Linked DNA regions of Tribolium castaneum. The protein of the gene in region 3 purifies or fractionates together with the protein of the main gene of each other region. This does not show direct contact. Links are inferred from orthologs where the notes say so. Each region holds a gene or a part of one and is shown on either strand. Other genes may lie near its edges.

What was found.
Region 1: the proteins of mle (region 3) and Dcr-1 purify together in Homo sapiens (co-immunoprecipitation; 3 studies listed by BioGRID and IntAct, with this or other methods). This does not show direct contact. The link is inferred for Tribolium castaneum from reciprocal best matches to the Homo sapiens genes DHX9 and DICER1.
Region 2: the proteins of mle (region 3) and P32 purify together in Homo sapiens (affinity purification with mass spectrometry; 3 studies listed by BioGRID and IntAct, with this or other methods). This does not show direct contact. The link is inferred for Tribolium castaneum from reciprocal best matches to the Homo sapiens genes DHX9 and C1QBP.
Region 4: the proteins of mle (region 3) and Nop56 purify together in Homo sapiens (affinity purification with mass spectrometry; 3 studies listed by BioGRID and IntAct, with this or other methods). This does not show direct contact. The link is inferred for Tribolium castaneum from reciprocal best matches to the Homo sapiens genes DHX9 and NOP56.
Region 5: the proteins of mle (region 3) and Larp7 purify together in Homo sapiens (affinity purification with mass spectrometry; 3 studies listed by BioGRID and IntAct, with this or other methods). This does not show direct contact. The link is inferred for Tribolium castaneum from reciprocal best matches to the Homo sapiens genes DHX9 and LARP7.

What each region holds. Positions count from the first base shown.
Region 1 is NC_087403.1:8,547,446-8,551,457, reverse strand, and holds the start of Dcr-1 (endoribonuclease Dcr-1), read left to right. Parts: upstream 1-1,209; 5' UTR 1,210-1,333; intron 1,334-1,394; 5' UTR 1,395-1,425; coding exon 1,426-2,694; intron 2,695-3,832; coding exon 3,833-4,012. UniProt on the Homo sapiens protein: Double-stranded RNA (dsRNA) endoribonuclease playing a central role in short dsRNA-mediated post-transcriptional gene silencing.
Region 2 is NC_087394.1:7,762,169-7,764,813, reverse strand, and holds the end of P32 (complement component 1 Q subcomponent-binding protein, mitochondrial), read left to right. Parts: intron 1-1,754; coding exon 1,755-1,843; intron 1,844-1,897; coding exon 1,898-2,047; 3' UTR 2,048-2,133; downstream 2,134-2,645. Other genes in the region: GPHR (Golgi pH regulator), read right to left, coding at 2,172-2,438, 2,490-2,645.
Region 3 is NC_087394.1:36,799,050-36,803,089, forward strand, and holds the start of mle (dosage compensation regulator), read left to right. Parts: upstream 1-1,231; 5' UTR 1,232-1,774; intron 1,775-1,827; 5' UTR 1,828-1,828; coding exon 1,829-1,910; intron 1,911-1,953; coding exon 1,954-2,437; intron 2,438-3,326; exon of another isoform or gene 3,327-3,413; intron 3,414-3,466; coding exon 3,467-4,040. UniProt on the Homo sapiens protein: Multifunctional ATP-dependent nucleic acid helicase that unwinds DNA and RNA in a 3' to 5' direction and that plays important roles in many processes, such as DNA replication, transcriptional activation, post-transcriptional RNA regulation, mRNA translation and RNA-mediated gene silencing.
Region 4 is NC_087395.1:14,127,669-14,131,503, forward strand, and holds Nop56 (nucleolar protein 56), read left to right. Parts: upstream 1-1,494; 5' UTR 1,495-1,626; coding exon 1,627-1,629; intron 1,630-1,744; coding exon 1,745-2,316; intron 2,317-2,366; coding exon 2,367-3,261; 3' UTR 3,262-3,331; downstream 3,332-3,835. Other genes in the region: wfs1 (wolframin), read left to right, coding at 1-1,421. UniProt on the Homo sapiens protein: Involved in the early to middle stages of 60S ribosomal subunit biogenesis. Required for the biogenesis of box C/D snoRNAs such U3, U8 and U14 snoRNAs. Part of the small subunit (SSU) processome, first precursor of the small eukaryotic ribosomal subunit.
Region 5 is NC_087394.1:30,501,995-30,506,163, forward strand, and holds the start of Larp7 (la-related protein 7), read right to left. Parts: upstream 2,817-4,169; 5' UTR 2,736-2,816; coding exon 2,561-2,735; intron 2,500-2,560; coding exon 1,662-2,499; intron 1,608-1,661; coding exon 1,385-1,607; intron 1,328-1,384; coding exon 1,049-1,327; 3' UTR 830-1,048; coding exon of another isoform or gene 554-829; 3' UTR 504-553; coding exon of another isoform or gene 132-503; 3' UTR 1-131. Other genes in the region: Gar1 (H/ACA ribonucleoprotein complex subunit 1), read left to right, coding at 132-503, 554-829. UniProt on the Homo sapiens protein: RNA-binding protein that specifically binds distinct small nuclear RNA (snRNAs) and regulates their processing and function.

The DNA.
Region 1 (4,012 bases), on a different chromosome or scaffold from region 3:
AGCAATTAAAATGTGTTGAATAAAGTTGTGTATAAACATTAATAAATTGTGAACGGTGTCTTTAAATGCCAGATTCATTGCTGACGACTAAACATATTTCGACTATTCTACACATTAACGGATCAAGAAAAAAAAATGTACATAGTTTCCCCATCTAAGAATTCTACTTTGAAGACACAGAATTAAAGCAAAGTCAAGCCGCAGAAAAAACACTTTTATTTTTTGAAATTCGAGAACTTCAAAATACGAGTGTGCTAAAAAGCTTATTTAAGCAGTTAGGCACGCTTTCTATCTACCAAAAAAAGTGTTTATCACTCATTACCACATAATAAAATATAAGTACAACAACTTTTCTATAAAAGCATTTTGCAAAAGTATTCATTATTTTTACTATTTCCCTCCTTTCCTGTAATAATTGATTCGCCTTTTGGGGGCCATTCTGAACACTGTAATGAATTTTTAAAGATAAAGTTTGCGAAATCGGGAAATTTTAAAGAATCTTTAAAAATTCATTAAAGTTCCAAGGGGTACTTTATGATTTTTTTACAGTCGAAGGCCCTATCGAAGAGCTTAATTTCCTGCAAAAATAAAGAAAATTGCAGGATATAAAGTGGGTGAAGAAAATAAAGTTTGCAAAATAGAGGAACTTTATAAAAATTAAAAAAAATTGTTAAGGTCCCAAGGGTGTTTGTCCGAACATGATTTTTTTACAGTCTCCTGCAAAATAATCTCCTGTAAAAATAAGGAAAATTACATAATATAAAGTAGATGAAAAAAAAAGTTTGCGACATCGGAAAATCTTTAAGAATCTTTAAAAATCCATTTTTACAGTCGAAGGCCCTATCGAAGGACTCTTCTTTTACAAAGATAAAGAAAATTGCAGAATATAAAGGGGGTGAAAAAAAATCAGTTTGCATTGCTTGAATATGAGAATAAAAAATGCAGAAATTAAATACAGTTAAGTTTTAATTTGTAATAGAAACACATTATAATGGTCAGGAGATTTTCTACAAATGTGATATGCAAGTCAGCGTAACAGCTTATTGATGTTTTTATAATGATTTACGATTATTTTGATAAATTTTCTGGTGTGAATTGGCTGCAGAAAACGAGAATGGTGGGGAAATAAATTGTCTGGTCGACTGTAATATTGATGGTGCCAGCACCATTTTTGAACCATGCTCTTCACCGACATTCAATTTTTTTGGAGTGATTGTCAAAACGCTGTCAACTGTCAAAACCCGCTCGGTCTGTGTGGTGTTGTTTGAATCTAAACTGGTATTTTTGTGATAATTTGTATATTCCAAGTGAGAAAAGATGTATCCCGTTGGTGGTGAGACGTCTCTAAGTTAGTTCAATCATAATCAGCAATAATAGCAACGAAAAATGCTTAGATAAGTCCTCCGTTGTGTACAGCACCCCTACATGGCTTGTTATTTAAACGAAAATGTTTACACGCACACGTTTACCCCACGAGAGTATCAAGTGGAGCTGCTGGACAGCGCTAAGAAGCGTAATACAATCGTATGTTCGAGTGCGAGTTCGGCGAAAGCGTTTATAACAATAAAACTGCTGCAAGAGTTCTCCCACAAGATGCGGGTGCCCCACGGAAAGCAGGCTTTATTCGTGCTGGACGGCCCGAACGTCCCGATAATGACGTCGCACGTGAAGCTGCTGACCGATCTGACCGTTACGAGCATAGATAAAGAGGAAAACCCCCCGTCGTTGAAGGCAAGCAATGTGATTGTGACCACAGCCGAAGTCTGTGTGCTTCTATGTAAGAAGAACTTCGTTCATTTGGACAGTTACGCTCTAATCGTGATAGACTGCTTATACGGGGGGCAACAGTCGTTAGTTAGGGAAATTATGGCCCGGTATCAGGCGATTCAAGCGCCCAGACCTCGAATTTTGGGCCTGACTGCCGGTCTTTTGGGCTCCGAGATGCAACCCGATCGTCTAGAAGCCGAATTACAACGCTTAGAAAAATTACTTAGTTCCTCGGTAGACACTTCTAGTGAAATTCTCACGCTGATACGCTTATCTTGTCGGCCGCGCGAACGCATAGTCGAGTGCTTTAAACCCATTCCAAGCCCTTTGCAGGACAAAATCAAGGCCACTATAACCTCCTGTCAGGATTTCCTCAAGGACCACCGCTACGATCCGAGCGAAATCTACGACGATGACTTGCTCGAGGAATTCAAGCAAGTCCCAGACCCCAAGGAACAGCCTTTGAGCTTCTTCGACGACTTCCTCGAAATTCTGGACGATTTGGGGCCCTGGTCGGCCGACAGAGCCGCCTATGGCATGCTTATCAAGATCGAGAAGCTCAAAGTCAAAGTTCCTTACGAAAGACATTATTTATTGTTATGCGTTGCTTCATCAGTATTAGTTTCGATAAGGGCTCTCTGCGAACTCGAATTCCAAGACTACACAGATAAGGAAAAGGTGTTTCGTTTCTCAACGCCGAAAGTACTCAGATTTCTCCAAGTTCTAAAGCAGTTTAAACCGACCGGTGATAAGCCGGAAACTTGCGACAAACTACCAGACCTCAAAGACCCCAAGAAGGGAAAAGGGAAAAACTACAAAGGGCCCCGAAGGCCGTACATCTCGCGCGCGCAAAGCGACGAGATGCTCTGCGCACTCGTTTTCGTCAAAAATCGCTACAAGGCGGAGGCCCTCTTCGCCCTACTGTGTGTAAGTAAAGCAGACGTGTTCCTGTAAGGCTAAGGGGTTGCCCTAAAGTGCCATCGTGTTTTAATGCTGCCTGTCGCAAGGTTTTGCCACAGAACTAACACTAAAATCATAAATTGAAGAAGTACGTTTATTTTGTAACTTATGATCTGTTTAAAAACTACTTTAAAGCCCTTGATGTTTAACACAAAATTAAAACAGGAAAAATATCTGACAACTAATTGTTTGGACTAAAAAAAGGAAAAACTTTCTAGTAGTTCGTGATTTATTTTTTTTGGGGGTTTAATGAGGTCACGACTTCCCACTGGCATACTTTTAATGATCTGTCACAGAATTTTAGCGTTTTTTGTTGCAAATGTGTTCTATTTTATTTTTTAAATCTTTCACCACTGTGGAAGATTTTTAAGATAATTTTTCATTTTGTGCCAAAAAGACACAAGACATATTTAAATCAGGCCTGTTTGCTGACCAAGACATAACATTAATGTGAGAATTACCGAATCATTAGGTATTTCAAATGTTTTGCTGTGTGACAAGAAGCATAATTTTTTTGTATAATTTTTCAGTCGGTGGTAATAAATGTTTTTGCAAAATATATTTGATGGTGTTCATGAACTCAAACCCACACCGTTTACAAACATGTATCATACCATTAGCAAATTTAAGCGTACTTTTGAGACAGTCTTTGTGAAAGATCTCTTGGTTATTTATTACTCGTTTTTGAGAATTGAGAATTTCAGCAGTGAGTAATGTTTTTTTTTCTTGTTAATGATAGTCAATTTTGGTGTTAAATTTCTTAGCGTTTATATATTTAGTTGCCAAGCTCAAGTGGATATATTTACAAAAAACACTAGAGTATTTAGAGAACTGCATAAGTTTGAAGTGATTTTATTTTTCCTTTAAACGTGAAGCATTTACTTCTCTCACTTTTGCTAAGAAATTCTTTTCTTTTGAAAAGAAGAAGCAACGCAAGTCTAGTTTATCTTTAATAGTCTAATGCTATTTTTGTTTATATTTATCTGCTTGACTTCATGGTTTGAACTCGAGCTTCTATTCTTTGGGCAAAATCTTGCGATACTAAGCTGGTCCCCTCAGCCTTAGAAATTGATGGTTTGCCCGCTGATTGTTTGCATTGTGTCAGGTGATGTCAAAGAGCGACGAGGAGTATTGGTGGGTGTCGGTTTCGTTCTCCGTGAATAAGATCGCAGATCCGGTGCGCGAGCCTCGGGAGGCGGAATCCGAGCATAAAAGGCAGGAGGAAGTTTTGCGGAAGTACAGAAGTCACGAATGCAATATAATGATAGCAACGTCGGCGTTAGAA
Region 2 (2,645 bases), about 29 Mb from region 3:
GGTTAAAATTGGTAAAAATAATATCATTTTTTACCTTTTGCGATTTTTGTGTCCAATTATACGGAAAACTCGCAAACAGATTAAGGTTTTATCTCAGAAACGCGCTTACATGCTTGAAAAAGGTAAAAATACTATTCTCAATAGGTTTTATTTTTGACGAATTTTCTCGAAGTAATTACGTTTTTGTTTAAAAAACGTTTTGGAATCTTCAGTAAAAGTAAAAATAACACCTTTCTCAGCTTTAGTAACGCTTTTATTTAAATTTTATAATATGTTGCCAACTAATTTTTGTAATTTACCTTTATATGTTTTTAAAAGAAAGTTAAAAGATTTTTCATTTAGGAACTGTGTCTATGACTTTGATGAATATTTTCGCTGCAATTTCAGTGACTTGTAGATTTTTTTTTAGTTTGCACGTTTCTTATTTTATTGACGTGTTATGACGCACTGTTTTTAAACACCAATAAAACTATTTCTATTTATTTTACATATGTTTTTTTATATTAGCGAAATTACGCAAAAAATTACCTTATTTTTAAGCTAATTTAGTGATTTCTGAGCTAAGTTTTTTTACAACGTTTTGAAAAACAATCGAATATTTCTGGACGAAAAACGTGGTAAAACGGTTAAAATTGGCAAAAATAATTACATTTGACCTAATTTTGTTTAGCTAGCGAAACTGTGGGGAAAATAAAGAAAAAAATCTCGAAAAGGCAAACATTTTATTATTCTTACCCTTTTATGAGATTTTTGTGTCCGGTTTTACGGAAAACTTGCAAAAAGATTGGGATCTTACCTCAGAAATATGCTTACACGCTTAAAAATGTAAAAATTGTGTTTTTAGTTAGTACAGGTCAATCGGTTACTCTTTTTGTTTTGTTTTTGTTGTTTTTGACGAATTTTCTTGAAGTAGTTGCGTTCTTGCTTGAAAAATTAGACCATTCTCAGCTTTAGTAACGCTTTTACAAGTTTTTTTTTACTTTTATTCGCAATCGGATGCTTATTGTTTTGACCAAATTTTGCAAAATAAATGAAGCGAATAAAACAAGATGAAATAACATTTCATATGGAGATATCTAGATTTGATTATAGCAAAATCCTGCAAAAAGACTGGAGGTTTTAGCTCTGAAACATGCTTACACGTTTGACAAAATGTAAAAATATCATTTCAAAATAATTTCGGGTGATTTTTTAGTTAATTCTTGCTTGAATAACGAAATCTTACAATAAGTCCAAAAACGTGCTTACACGTTAGAAATGACAAAAAAAATCTAAAAATTATTTTGATGATTTGTCGGCTGATTTGTGACGAAATTTTTCGAAATAATGAACAGATTAAATCTCGCGAAAAAGATTACGCTATGTTCGAGCTAAGTTAGTGATTTCCTGAATTATTTCTGATATTTAAAAATAATAATTGTATTTCTGACTGAGAAAAGGCTTAAATATTTCTAATAATACACATACATGCCTTAAGTGAAATCTTGTTTCTGGATGAAAAACGTTCATAAATGGCAAAAACAATGTGATTATAGTGACAATGACCGTTTTTAGATTAACCCTGTATTTTTCTCTTGTTTTTTTAATAATATTTAGCGAAATGATTGGATTTCTGGCTGAAAAACGTACGAAAACATTGAAAATGCAATGTTTTTTTTGTACAGTGCATTATTATTTTGCATTAAAATGTTTCAGCTTTTATTTATAAAATTAGTGATTGACTTACACTAAGTTGTTACATCAATTTTTTACAGATGACATATTTAGAGTCGATGAGATCAGTTTGTACGATGGGACATGGAATGAAAATGTTTATGCAGTAGCATCAGACGTTTTAGATACCGTAAGTAATGTAGTATTATAACAGTTTTTTTTATTACTGCTTTACAATTTTCAGTATTTGTATGACCTTATCCTTAACTATTTGGAGGAAAAGGGAATCTCTAACGAATTTGTTGGAAAATTATCAGATTTCAGCACATCTTATGAGCACTCGGCTTACATTGGTCTTTTAGAAGGATTATCAAAGTTCGTTTCTGGGAAGTAATCAGATTAAGTATGTAACATAATATAATCACTAGGTCTAAAGTTTTTGTTCAATAAACATTACACGTCATTTTAACTACGTAAAAACGAACCTTTTATTTCCTTTATTTATCACAAGATTTCAATTATAAATTTTCATGCACTGGTTGTTTATGGGCCAAATAGAGCGTAACAATGCTGCCCAAAGCGCTTACTAAAAATATCACGTCAAACCAACGATGGTAGAAATTAAATTGTAAATCTCCCAAAACTTGAGTGATGATAGTTCGGTATTGTGGGGGCATATTCATTCGCATTAGAAGCACTGATGATACGAAGTACATGCCCATTATTTGGGCTAAAATAAGTACGATTATGTTGGAACTCTTGCTTGACGACATTCTGTTAAAAAACTGCAAGAAATTACATAATTACACAATTGGGATTTTTTTTTTCTAACTTACTTTAGTCAACGTTAGTAGTAAACCTCTGATTGACGTGACAACAATACATCCAACTAAATAAAACGAAACTTGTTGCGACCAAAAATTCACGTCGAAATTGAATCCCATCCAGTGGATGGCAATCTCAATACCTCTTGTAACAGGATCCTTTTTCCC
Region 3 (4,040 bases):
ATGTTTATTTGCATTAAATTTTGAGCAGCCACTTTCATTCATTGAAATTAAAGACAAAATTACGTGGCAATAAATTATTTGAGTGTTTTATTTTATTTATAGTTTCTGTATCTAAAATGCGTCACTCAAAATGTCACTTTCAACACCGCATTTAAAGATTTTAATTGCAATTAAGTTTTATGAAATTATTGGTTTGTGAAATAAATAAATACGACACAGCAATAAAATACACCTACCTTCATATCGCTTCCTCGTTGGCTACCGTTTGTAGCATTAAAAAAAATAATAATAAAAATGAAACCAAAAAAATGTTTATTTGCATTAAATTTTGAGCAGCCACTTTCATTCATTGAAATTAAAGACAAAATTACGTGGCAATAAATTATTTGAGTGTTTTATTTTATTTATAGTTTCTGTATCTAAAATGCGTCACTCAAAATGTCACTTTCAACACCGCATTTAAAGATTTTAATTGCAATTAAGTTTTATGAAATTATTGGTTTGTGAAATAAATAAATACGACACAGCAATAAAATACACCTACCTTCATATCGCTTCCTCGTTGGCTACCGTTTGTAGCATTAAAAAAAATAATAATAAAAATGAAACCAAAAAAATGTTTATTTGCATTAAATTTTGAGCAAGCCACTTTCATTCATTGAAATTAAAGACAAAATTATTACGTGGCAATAAATTATTTGAGTGTTTGATAATAATTTTATTTACTGTATTTAAAATGTGTCACTCAAACGCGATCACTAGCCACCGAATTGAAAATTTAAACCGGAAAATTTAGATTTGCTTGAACACACGTCCGTTCGCGACAACGGCAAGTAACAAACTGAATAAATTGAACGAAACCGCACAATACACAATAATTTAAATAAACCGACTCACCTCGCTTCGCCTCCCGCTTCCGCTCCCGATCTGACCCGTGCCACTGCTCGCTGTCGACTGAACCGCCCTCGCCGCCTGCGCCGCACACCTAACCTCGGATGTGACGTCATCACACGTCTAAAACAAGTCATAACCAGAAACATTCACTGTCCAAATCCGTCAAATTTAGAAACATTCATACACAGAATTATTCAAAATAGAACAGTATTGATCTAGAAAAGTTAATTATGACAAATGTATTTGTCTATAAACGTCTAAAATTATAAAAGTTTCGCATGCAGTTAATGGAAAAATAAAAATGCATGTTTATATTTAAACAGAAACTGGCAATGTGAAATTTTAGTGCGAAAATTAGTGGTAGAGCTCGGAAACTCTGTAAACGACCACGATAGGCGGAGCCAATGCGTACTTCATCGAGTGAGGAGATTGAGCAGTGGCGTAGCAAAAAACTATTCTATGATCAAGAAGGGTTTGAGATTCATAATTTGTAGTAGTTAAAATTTCCTCTATTCAATAATTGCAAGATGAAATAGTAAAAATCATATCTAATGCTAATACACGTTGATTTCCTAGAAATACAAAGCAGAGAGGTCGAATAAATAAAAATACACAATGAGTAAAGAGTAAAAACGCGTTTATTGCAAAAAATGTTTCTACTGGTATCTTTACTATAACTGGTAATATTGAAATGTTAAACTTTAAGACGAATTCCCTACACATGTAAGTACACGCCACGCCACTGTTTTCTGCCAACACCCCTAATTTAAAGATTGGACTCGTCCGAGACGAGTTTTCGTCTCTGCGCACTCCTACCACCGTGGACGATCTGTCATTTCGCGGACTCTATTCTGTGGTTAAATGTCAAAACTTTTCCAAGGTCGTATTTTTTACCGGCATTTTCTTCGATTAAAAAATACGAAATTTCAATAGGATGTCCGATATAAAATCATTCTTGCACCAGTTCTGCCAGAAGACCAAGAAAGAGCAGCCCCAGTTTGAAGTCCGGCCAACCGGTAAGCCGCAGCCCCTTTTCACCCTTTACTAATTTCCCCAAAGGCCCCAAACACCGCCAGAGATTCCTCTGCGAAGTCCGCATCGATGGCTACAGTTACGTGGGGGCTGGCAATTCCACCAACAAAAAGGACGCCCAAAGCAACGCCGCCCGCGATTTCGTCAGTTACCTCGTCCGGGAAGGCATTGTTAACCCCGCCGACGTGCCCGACTTCCAGGATGCGCCTCCAGGTCCAAACACCGTTCCGATGAATCGGGGGCCCGCCCCTTCGGTGTTTCGACAGGGAATGGGGCCCTCGTCGTTTGGGGAGGCCTACAGGCCTCTGGGGCGCGATCACGACGATTGGCATTACATGAACAGGGCGCAGGAACAGAAGAGTGTGGAGGATGCAGAGGATTTGGATGTGAATGCTCAGATTCATGGCAATTGGACTGTGGAGAATGCAAAGTCAAAGCTGCATCAGTTTATGCAAAGCAATAAAATACACGCGGATTATAAGTATACGCAAGTGGGGCCAGACCATTCCAGGTTGGTATTGAGAGAGTGAGTAGATGGAAGTTTGTGTGGGGGGAGGAGAGAGAGAAAAATAGGCACAGTAGAAAAACTGAAAAATAATAAAATAATAGAGCATAACCAAGAACAGTGACAGAATAATTTATTTTGTTTATTGTTTACTCACGTTTTTCTTCTGGCCTTGGAAATTTAACATTTCCCCTGCACTGTTTATTTTAAATATTTTTTGTATAAGAGAACGAGAATAAAAAATAAAGAAAGAACCGTAATAATAAAATAAATATACATAATAAAAAATACCAAAAATAGAAAAAAAAACGAAAAGAAGGAAAAAATGTTGTTTTTTTTTTTTTTTAATTAAATCTGCAATAGAGAATGAGGCACCAATAGAAGAAATAATAAAAAAATGTAAGGAGTAAAGACAGATAAGCAAAGCCAAGAACAGTGGATAGAATAATTTATTTTCATTATTATTTTATCCATTCACGATTTTTTTTTCTGGCTTTGAAAAAACCAACATTTCTGCCAGAAGGATTATTGTTATTGTTTGACTATTTATGGTTTGAAAATTTTTAGAAAAAAATGAAAGATTGAAGAAATTAAAATTTTTCTATCTTTTTTATTTTTTTCTGCAGAGAAAAAATAGTAGAGGTGGAAAAGCAGAACTAAGTACAGTGGATAGAATAATTTATTTCGTTTATTTACCAAAAAATTCACGATTTTCTTTCTGGAAAGAAGGAAGTTGTGAATGCGTTTATGTTTTATTTAACCAATTGAATGGCATTTTGATAATAGAGTTACTGGTTTGATTAAAAAATTAGTAACTTTGAGGTCATTTTTTTATTTATGAAACTTCTGTTTTACTTCTTGCAGTAGTTTCTTAAATAATAATTTTCCACTGCAGCTACCGTGGGAACAACTCAAATATTTTACTGTTCTTGGTTCTGTTTTTCCTCCAAGGTACAATATAAAAACTCTGCATTATACACTTGTAAGTATACTTTTAATCCCCTATTTCTCAACTGTAATGCTCCCATTTCTTAGGACTTTTGTGGCCGAAATGAGCTTCTACGTCAAGCAACTCGGACGTACAATAACCGGTCGTGATTCCGGTTCAAATAAGCAAACCGCTAGTAAAAGTTGCGCTCTTTCCATCATTCGCCAACTGTTCCATCTCGGTGTAATTGAAGCATTTTCCGGAACACTTAAAAAAGAGAAAACCGGCAGTGAAATGAAACCTTTCGATGTAAAAATCTCCCCAGATTTACAAAAACAAATCAAAGATTGCCTCGACACTTTGAATATCACTCCGGTTGAGGTTAAACCGGAAAGCGAAAGCCAACCGGTTTCACTTTTGAGCAATCACATTTTGGACGACTTTCAAGCCTCCAAACCGATAGCTGCAGGAGTTGTCCCATGGTCGCCTCCTCAACAAAATTGGAATCCTTGGACTGGGTGCAACATTGATGAGGGCCCCCTTGCCAACGCCAACTTGGACGAGTTGAGCGAACATTTGGCCGAAGAAACCAAACAAAAATTGAATCATGACGTTGATTTGAAAGCTATCATTAGTGAGAGACAAGGTTTGCCAGTGTATTCAATGAAGGGGCAAATTATG
Region 4 (3,835 bases), on a different chromosome or scaffold from region 3:
ACCAGTGGATCCCCCAGTCTGAATTAATGATAATTTCGTTCTGTCTCACGTTTGCAACCCTTCTAGGCTTCATGTACAAGAGACGGGGGAAGACAGTTTTCGACCTTTTGGTGTTTTTCAGTTTTGGGATTAACGTCCTTGCGAAATACCCCTACGAGACTGATCCAGTGGTGGCACAAGGTTGGCGCTTTCTCGACCTAAAAATCCCAACTTTCGCCAGCTATGTGATAGGAAACGGCATCGAATTTTGTATCAATTTCCGCCTGTTTCTCTACATGTTTATCCCGCTTTTGTTGGTCAAAATCGCCTCACGCCAGGATTGGAAAGGCACGTACCAAATGTTGATCCCCCACTGTGTGACCCTGAGCTGGCTCCAGGTGTGCATTGTGAGCTCCGAGGGGGCCACAATGTACGGCCTGTTGCGCGGCAGCTTGGCCTTAGTGGGGGTGGTGCTGTTCCTGCCCCTAGTGGGGCTCACAAGTGTGATACTCCCCGCAGCTGCGCTAGCGAAATGGGTCGTGGCTTCGAATTTTTTTCTCGGGGTTTGTGTCTTCGTGGGGGCCACCGGGTTAGGCCTGGCGGTATGTTGGGTTTGTGCCCAAACGAGGTTCAGCAAAATCACCGCTTTTATTCAAGTCGTTTCGACGATTTTTGCTGTTTTAACCCTCATTAAGTCAAATTACAAAAATGAGGAACACTATTTTGAAAATAAACTACCCGAGTATTTGTCGTGGGACGTTTATCAGCGGTTTTGCCACCAGCCGGTGTGGCAGGAGGAAAACATCGCAATTGCTCAAGTGAAGTGCTCCGAACTGCACAACTCGCACATCAATTGGGACGGTTACATCAACGATATTAAAATTTCGTCGATCTCGAATAAGTTCCAAACGATTATTGATCACTTCCCTGTGACTTTGCGCCATTATCTTTACTGTTTTTACGGGGAAGAGACTCGAAATGATTGTACTGATTTCCCCCCCGCGGTTCGTGAAGAGTGCAGCTCGTTCTACAATGCAATAAAATCGACTAAAACGTGTTCGCTTCAAAAATACAATTCGTACACGTTTGAAATAACAACGAAAGTGCAGTCAGCGATTTGGGGCAAAAGCCCCGAAGTCACTCTTGTAGTTGACGATTATTTTCGAAATTTCACCCTGGGGCTTAAGCCAAATGACCACATTTGGTTCAAAGGCACGTTGTTTAATAACGAGGTTGTGGGGTCCGATGGGATTTTAGGGGGGTTCAAAACCCATGTAAAATTGGACGAAATTGGTTGCCTTGCGTGTAGTAATAATAAACTGACGAATGTTAAAAAAGAGATTGAATCTAGATTTGATATTAAGAATGTTATTGATGGTCTCGTTTTGGGACTCAAGTTTGTCCTCAATGTTATTTTAAGTCCAGTCGTAGTGTTTAAGTGATTTGTTACGTAACTTATTGAGAATTGTATTTATTTATGTTAATAAATGTAAGAGATTATTTAAGTTGTGCGCCAGAATTTAAATTTTCGTCAGCTCCACCACTACACTGCCGTAAAAATTACCAGCGAAATCGCGCAAACACGTGTGATTGTGATGCGTGCTGTTATAGAATTTAATTAATTTTAGCCCAATTTTATGCCTAATTATGGTAAGAATTCAATATTGCATAACTAGAACATTGCTAATTGCTCGTTTTTTGGAACAAGCAAAGTTATAGCAATGTTTGTAAATATAACCTCACTCTAGCGCCGCATGTTTTTCAGTCTAAACTTTATGTGTTATTCGAGCACGCTGCCGGCTATGGGGTTTTCAAAGTGCAGGAATTTGAAGAAATCGGTATGCTGCTGCCCCAGTTGGAGGCAGCCGTGCACGACCTAGCCCGCTTCAATAGCGTAGTCGAACTCGTTGGTTTTTCGCCGTTTAAAACAGCCATTGCGGCTTTAGAAAGCATCAATGCAATCTCGGAGGGTGTTTTACCCGAAGATTTGCTACACTTTTTGGACATCACAGTCCCGAAAAGTAAGAAAAAGAATAAGCTTACGTTGGGGGTGAGTGACCCCAAGTTGGGGGCTGCCATCACCGAAGCGCTTGGGATACAATGTAGCCACGTCGGAGCTGTCCCGGAGGTAATCAGGGGTATCAGGCACCATTTCCATAACCTTGTGAAAGGTTTCACTCAGAAAAGCTCAGCCGTGGCCCAACTGGGGCTCGGGCATGCATATTCACGAGCCAAGGTCAAGTTTAACGTCCACAGAGTTGACAATATGATAATACAATCCATAGCTCTTTTGGACCAACTCGACAAAGACATCAACACTTTCTCGATGAGAATTCGGTACGATTTTGCGAATTGTCCAAATTTTCTTTCTAACAAGTGTATTGCAGCGAATGGTACTCTTACCATTTCCCGGAGTTGGTGAAAATAGTCCCCGAGAACTACACCTACGCCCGTTTGGCAAAATTCATCAAAAACCGCAAAGAACTAAGCGAGGACTCTCTCGAGGGCTTGGAAGAAATCACGATGGATTCAGGCAAAGCCCAGGCGATTTTGGACGCCTCCAAGTCCAGCATGGGCATGGACATAAGCGTTGTTGATCTACTGAACATCGAAATGTTTGCCGGCCGGGTGATAGCTCTAGCCGACTACAGAAACCAACTTTCCGAATATTTGAAGACAAAAATGACCGACGTGGCCCCAAATCTGGCCAAACTAATCGGCGAACAAGTGGGGGCGCGCTTGATCGCCCACGCTGGGTCTCTGACAAACCTTGCCAAGTACCCGGCGTCCACGGTTCAGATCCTCGGGGCTGAAAAAGCCCTTTTCAGGGCTCTTAAAACCAGGGGGAACACCCCGAAGTACGGCTTACTCTTCCACTCCACTTTCATAGGGCGAGCTGGGGCTAAGAACAAGGGGCGCATCTCGCGATATTTGGCGAACAAGTGCTCGATCGCATCGCGAATCGACTGCTTCACTGAACAACCGACGCAGATTTTTGGCGAGAAGTTGAGGCAACAAGTTGAAGACAGGCTCAAGTTTTACGAGACAGGGGACGTCCCCAAGAAGAATATCGAAGTCATGAAGGAGGCGATGGAGGAGTTGGAGCAAGAAACGGCGCACAATAAGTCCGAGAAGAAGAAGAAAAAGAAGAAACATAAGCTGAACGAGACGAGTGAGTCTGTGGGAGAGAATGGCGTGGACCAGACGACCAATGGGAATGCAGATGAGGCGGAGGAGCCGCCCAAAAAGAAGAAGAAGAAAAATAAGCAGGAAGTTGAGTAATTGTTTGTTTGAGAGTCGGGTATTTTTATTCTTGTATAATCTATTATTTTTAAATAGATACTTGATCAAATTGAGGTCGTAATGCTTAAACCTGTTATCCTACCAATAAAACCATGGGTAATATTCACAACAATTTATTTTATATGTTTTTACAATAAACTAAATGAGCGGAATGTTCAAACAGTTACTAACTGTAACATGGATAGTGTTATCGATAATAAGGCACCACGGTATCGCAACCTTCAACGAAAAAGAAAAAACTGCCGATAGGTCGAATTTGTTTTTATTTTATAGAAAATTATTAACAATGCAATATTGCTTTATCTGTTTGCTAACAGAGCCGATTTTGCTGTTCCTACAAATTAGTTGTATAAATAGTTGCGTAATACTAAATAAAATATGAACAAACTTAAATGTACCCAGCACCCTCATGAGCATTGTAATACAACCAAACGGACTATACAAAATATGTGCAAGAAAACCGTTTTTAAAAACTATAAACGCAAGACCAATTGGCTCAATCTCAACGATTAAAGTACAATCTTTGGAATTTCGAATAAAAATTAGGTGCTTT
Region 5 (4,169 bases), about 6.3 Mb from region 3:
TTAGGAGTGTTTACAGTTGGAGGTTACGTTTGCAGGAGAGGTTATGTTGCCGCACTGAAAATTTAGTGTAAACCACGTGTTTACAAAGGGACGCTCTTTTACGTTTCTAATTATTTGAGGAGTGAAACAAAATGTCTTTTCGTGGCCGAGGCGGCGGTGGTGGCGGCTTTGGAGGTCGTGGTCGTGGGGGCGGCGGCGCTCGAAATTTTGGTGGAGGCGGCGGGAGAAATAGTTTTGGTGGTCGCGGGGGCGGCGGGCGAAACTATGATCAAGGCCCTCCTGAGAGAGTGATTCCTTTGGGCTACTTCGATTACACCGTACAAGATGATTTAGTTGCTAAAGTAGAAATAGAAGACGTTCCATTTTTCAATGCGCCGATTTACCTCGAAAATAAGGAACAAATCGGAAAAATTGATGAAATTTTTGGAAATCTCAGAGATTATTACGTTTCGATACGTCTCGGAGACGACATAAAAGCTAGCAGTTTTAAAAAGAATCAAAAGGTATAAAAAAATTCACTTACCATTCACACATCTAAAATAATGTTTTGCAGTTGTTTATTGATCCTGCGAAGTTGTTACCACTTCAAAGATTCCTACCGAAGCCCCCAGGCTCAGTCCAGAAACGAGGCGGTCGAGGGGGAGGTCGTGGGGGTGGCGGAGGCCGCGGTGGTGGCAGAGGGGGCGGCAATCGCGGCGGGTTTGGAGGAAGAGGAGGCGGCAATTTCGGTGGACGTGGGGGTCGTGGGGGCGGCGGCGGTTTTAGAGGTGGTCGTGGGGGTGGATTTGGCGGCGGCCGAGGAGGGGGCGGCGGCGGCAAGAGGTGGTAGACTTGAAATTGTGACCAATGTTTTTTGTGGTTGGCAATTGTTCCATTAAGTGTATGAAATTTTTATTACGAAAATAGATCTATGAAAAATAAGAACTACAGGTTATTTCAAATTTTTGTGTGAATATGTCAGCAAACAACACGAAATGGATGGTGCCACTGTTTGACAAAGTTAATAAATAAAGAATATTTAAAAAAAATTTAAACTGAAAACAAAACCTTAATCATCAAATTTTGTATGTTTTGCTTTCTTTAACAGTTTGTCTCTACCACGTTGTTTCTTTTTTGCTTTGTTTAGTTTATCCTCACGATCTGTTTTAATTTTTTCCCAATATGAAGATTCTTCCTGTCCTGTTAATACCTCTTTTTTGCCAAAAGATTCTTGGGAGCAAAAATTTTTAGCGCCCTCCGTGGTGTTAAATCTTACATAAATGTTCTCACTGCCAGGGTTTGGAATATCTACGTACAATATATCAGCTGAAGAAGTTTTAATTTCATTCTGAAAAACGATTTATCGCAAATAAATTGGCCAAGATATTTAGTTTAGAAAATTTACCTTAAGTTTCTTTATATCCAGGGTAGCTTCGGTTAGCTTTATTTTTACAATAAGTCCCTTGGTAAAATCCTCTTTGTTGAGTTCAGTCTTAGCAGTGGGAGTTTTCGACTTTTGTTCATAATTTGGTTGATTAAACTTGGCTTTTAGAAGGTGTTTTTTAAACTCTTTCATTTTCTTCTTTTGTAAATCTAGATACCGATTTCGCATCTTTTTCCACTCTTTTCTAAAAAACAATTATTTATCAATGATTAAAGATAATTCTAGCTGCTTCACTTACTTTGATAACACTTGGAGGCCCAATTCTTTTATGTAATTTTTCTTTTTGTGTTCTTTTTTCAATTTCTTCTTTTTCTTATTTTCGGCATCGTCCGACTCAGAAACGTCTCCAGTATCATGTTTTGAATTTTTTTCTTTTTCGTCACTTTCACTGTGTTCATCATTTTCTTCAGTGTGCTTACTATCATCGACTTTCATTTTTTTCCCTTTTTCTTCACTTTCGCCGGATTCACTTTCTTCAAGTTTTCGTTTTCTTATTTTTTCCTCCGCTTTACTCTCACAGTGTTCACTATCTAGTTTTTCGCTATTCTCACTATTGTCTTCAAGTTTTCGCTTTTTTGTTGCCTTTTCGTCTTCTCCAGATTTTGGCTTCAGTGTAGAATTTTTAGAGGAAGCCTCAGATTGTTCATTACTTTCTTCAAATGTTTTAATACTACAAAGAGTTTCTGGTTCTGTATTTGACGGCATTTTGCAGCCAATGCTTTCAAAGTAATTTAAAGCATTTTGCGCTTCCTTTTCTTTCTCGAATTCGACAAAAGCAAAACCCTTTATGGCACTATTGTTTTTGTATTTTGGTATAGAAACGTAGACCACATTTCCAAATTCAGAAAAAACAGAGTTCAACCATTCATGAGTTGCATCGGATTTTAGGCGTTCTACATAAATCGTACAATCATCAACGTTAGCCTTTTCTTTAACCGGTTTTGTACGACGAATTCTACTACGATCTTCTGATAATTCGATTAACTGCGACTTTTGTACAGCTTTTTGGATATCATCTATGCTGGTTGTGAGTTTAGTAATTTTGTTAAATTTCAAAAATACGTTCAGGTCGACAACTGAAAAAAGTGCTTGGTATTTACCTACAACTACTCATAAAATAATCATATAGTCACTTACAAGGATTCTCCTTTATTAATTGAGATAGAAATCTATCTTTGGTGAGGTTAGAGTCGCTAAAATAAAATTCCATTTGCTGCAAAATGGAATTGTAGAGTTGCTTTTTTCGATGGCGACCTTTTTTAAGTATTGAATCGTCGTGTGCATTTGCATTTTCTTTCGTTTCATTTTCCATTTTCAATACTTTGCAGAAGTAAAAATGAAAATTATAACCTAACTTAGCGTTTGGAAATGAAATTGAAAAAGAAACTGCCGCCAACCATAGAAAAAAAATATTTGTTGGAGGTAAATTTGGTTGCCTAATTAAAAAAAATGTTTTTAGAATGCAAAAAAAATCATTTACTTTTTAAATTATACGCCGCTTACTCTTATTCATAGGAGATAGCTCTTATTCAAAAAATAATTATGTTTAGTTGTATCAATTACACCCATGCTACTCCTAGTGCATTGTGTGCTGCACTTTTTACCTAATCAGGCGTGAAGTCTTAAGTGAATAACTCTATGTATTTAGTTTAGATTATGAAAAAAAAACTTTTATACTTTATTAACTAATTTAATTAAGTTTTACCATGAATTTGAATAGTACTTCAAATCGTTTCAAATAATCCATTATGTGAAACTGAATACTCACCTTGATTTCATCTTTCTTAGAAACGAACTATAAAGTCACCGATAAAATGATAAAAGTAAGTTGTTTATTACATTAAGTTACTTAAATCACTGACATACTTATATTGTTTGCCTTATGGATTGTGAAATTTAAACATCAGCACGTATAAGTACTGATGTTATCGCCTTAGCAACATATAAGCCACCAACTTGAGCAATCTTACAATAGGTTTAAATTTTATGAAACCATAAGTAAAATTATTCATCAGATTAAATTACAACAGTCATTTAAAAAAAACATTTATCATAACTAACTCATAGTATCTTTGCCGATGTTTTTTCGTGCTTATTTATTATTTAACTATGTACTTTTGGAGATGTTTTTATCTTTTGGCTTTTGGCCACAATTAATGAGGCAAATTCAAAATAAAAAGTTATAGTATGTACATTTGCAAAGATATTTTGAAAAACACATTAATTTTTTTAATTGTTAGTCCTTGCAATTTTAATTTAATTCTGGTCTAAAAGAATCATTGATCCACAATATTGATCCGTAAATGTATAAGTTTTTTCTAGTTAAAAGTTTAAAATAATACGAAATACAAAATAACAACAAACAAACAAAGAAAACAAACGTTAGAATAACTACAACTTGTCCTATCCAAATGTTTATAACTACTTTTTGTATTTAGATACACCAGCTATCAATAAAAAAAGTCAAGTGACTTAAATTAAAACTTTGTACCCTATTCATATCATTTATGTGTGTACTTAATTGTACTCACATTGTAAAACGATTTACTGATGTCATTGTTTTATTAACAAGTAGATAACAAGCATTTAAGTCATCAAGATAAATTAGGCTTAAGTCTTTTATCTAAGTCACTCAAACTAACGTCTGCATGAAGTTTTAGCAGACGATAGGCAAGTGGATAATGTTACAATAATTATAAGCACGTTCAATCATCATACAACCTGAATACCTACTTATAGATTATTA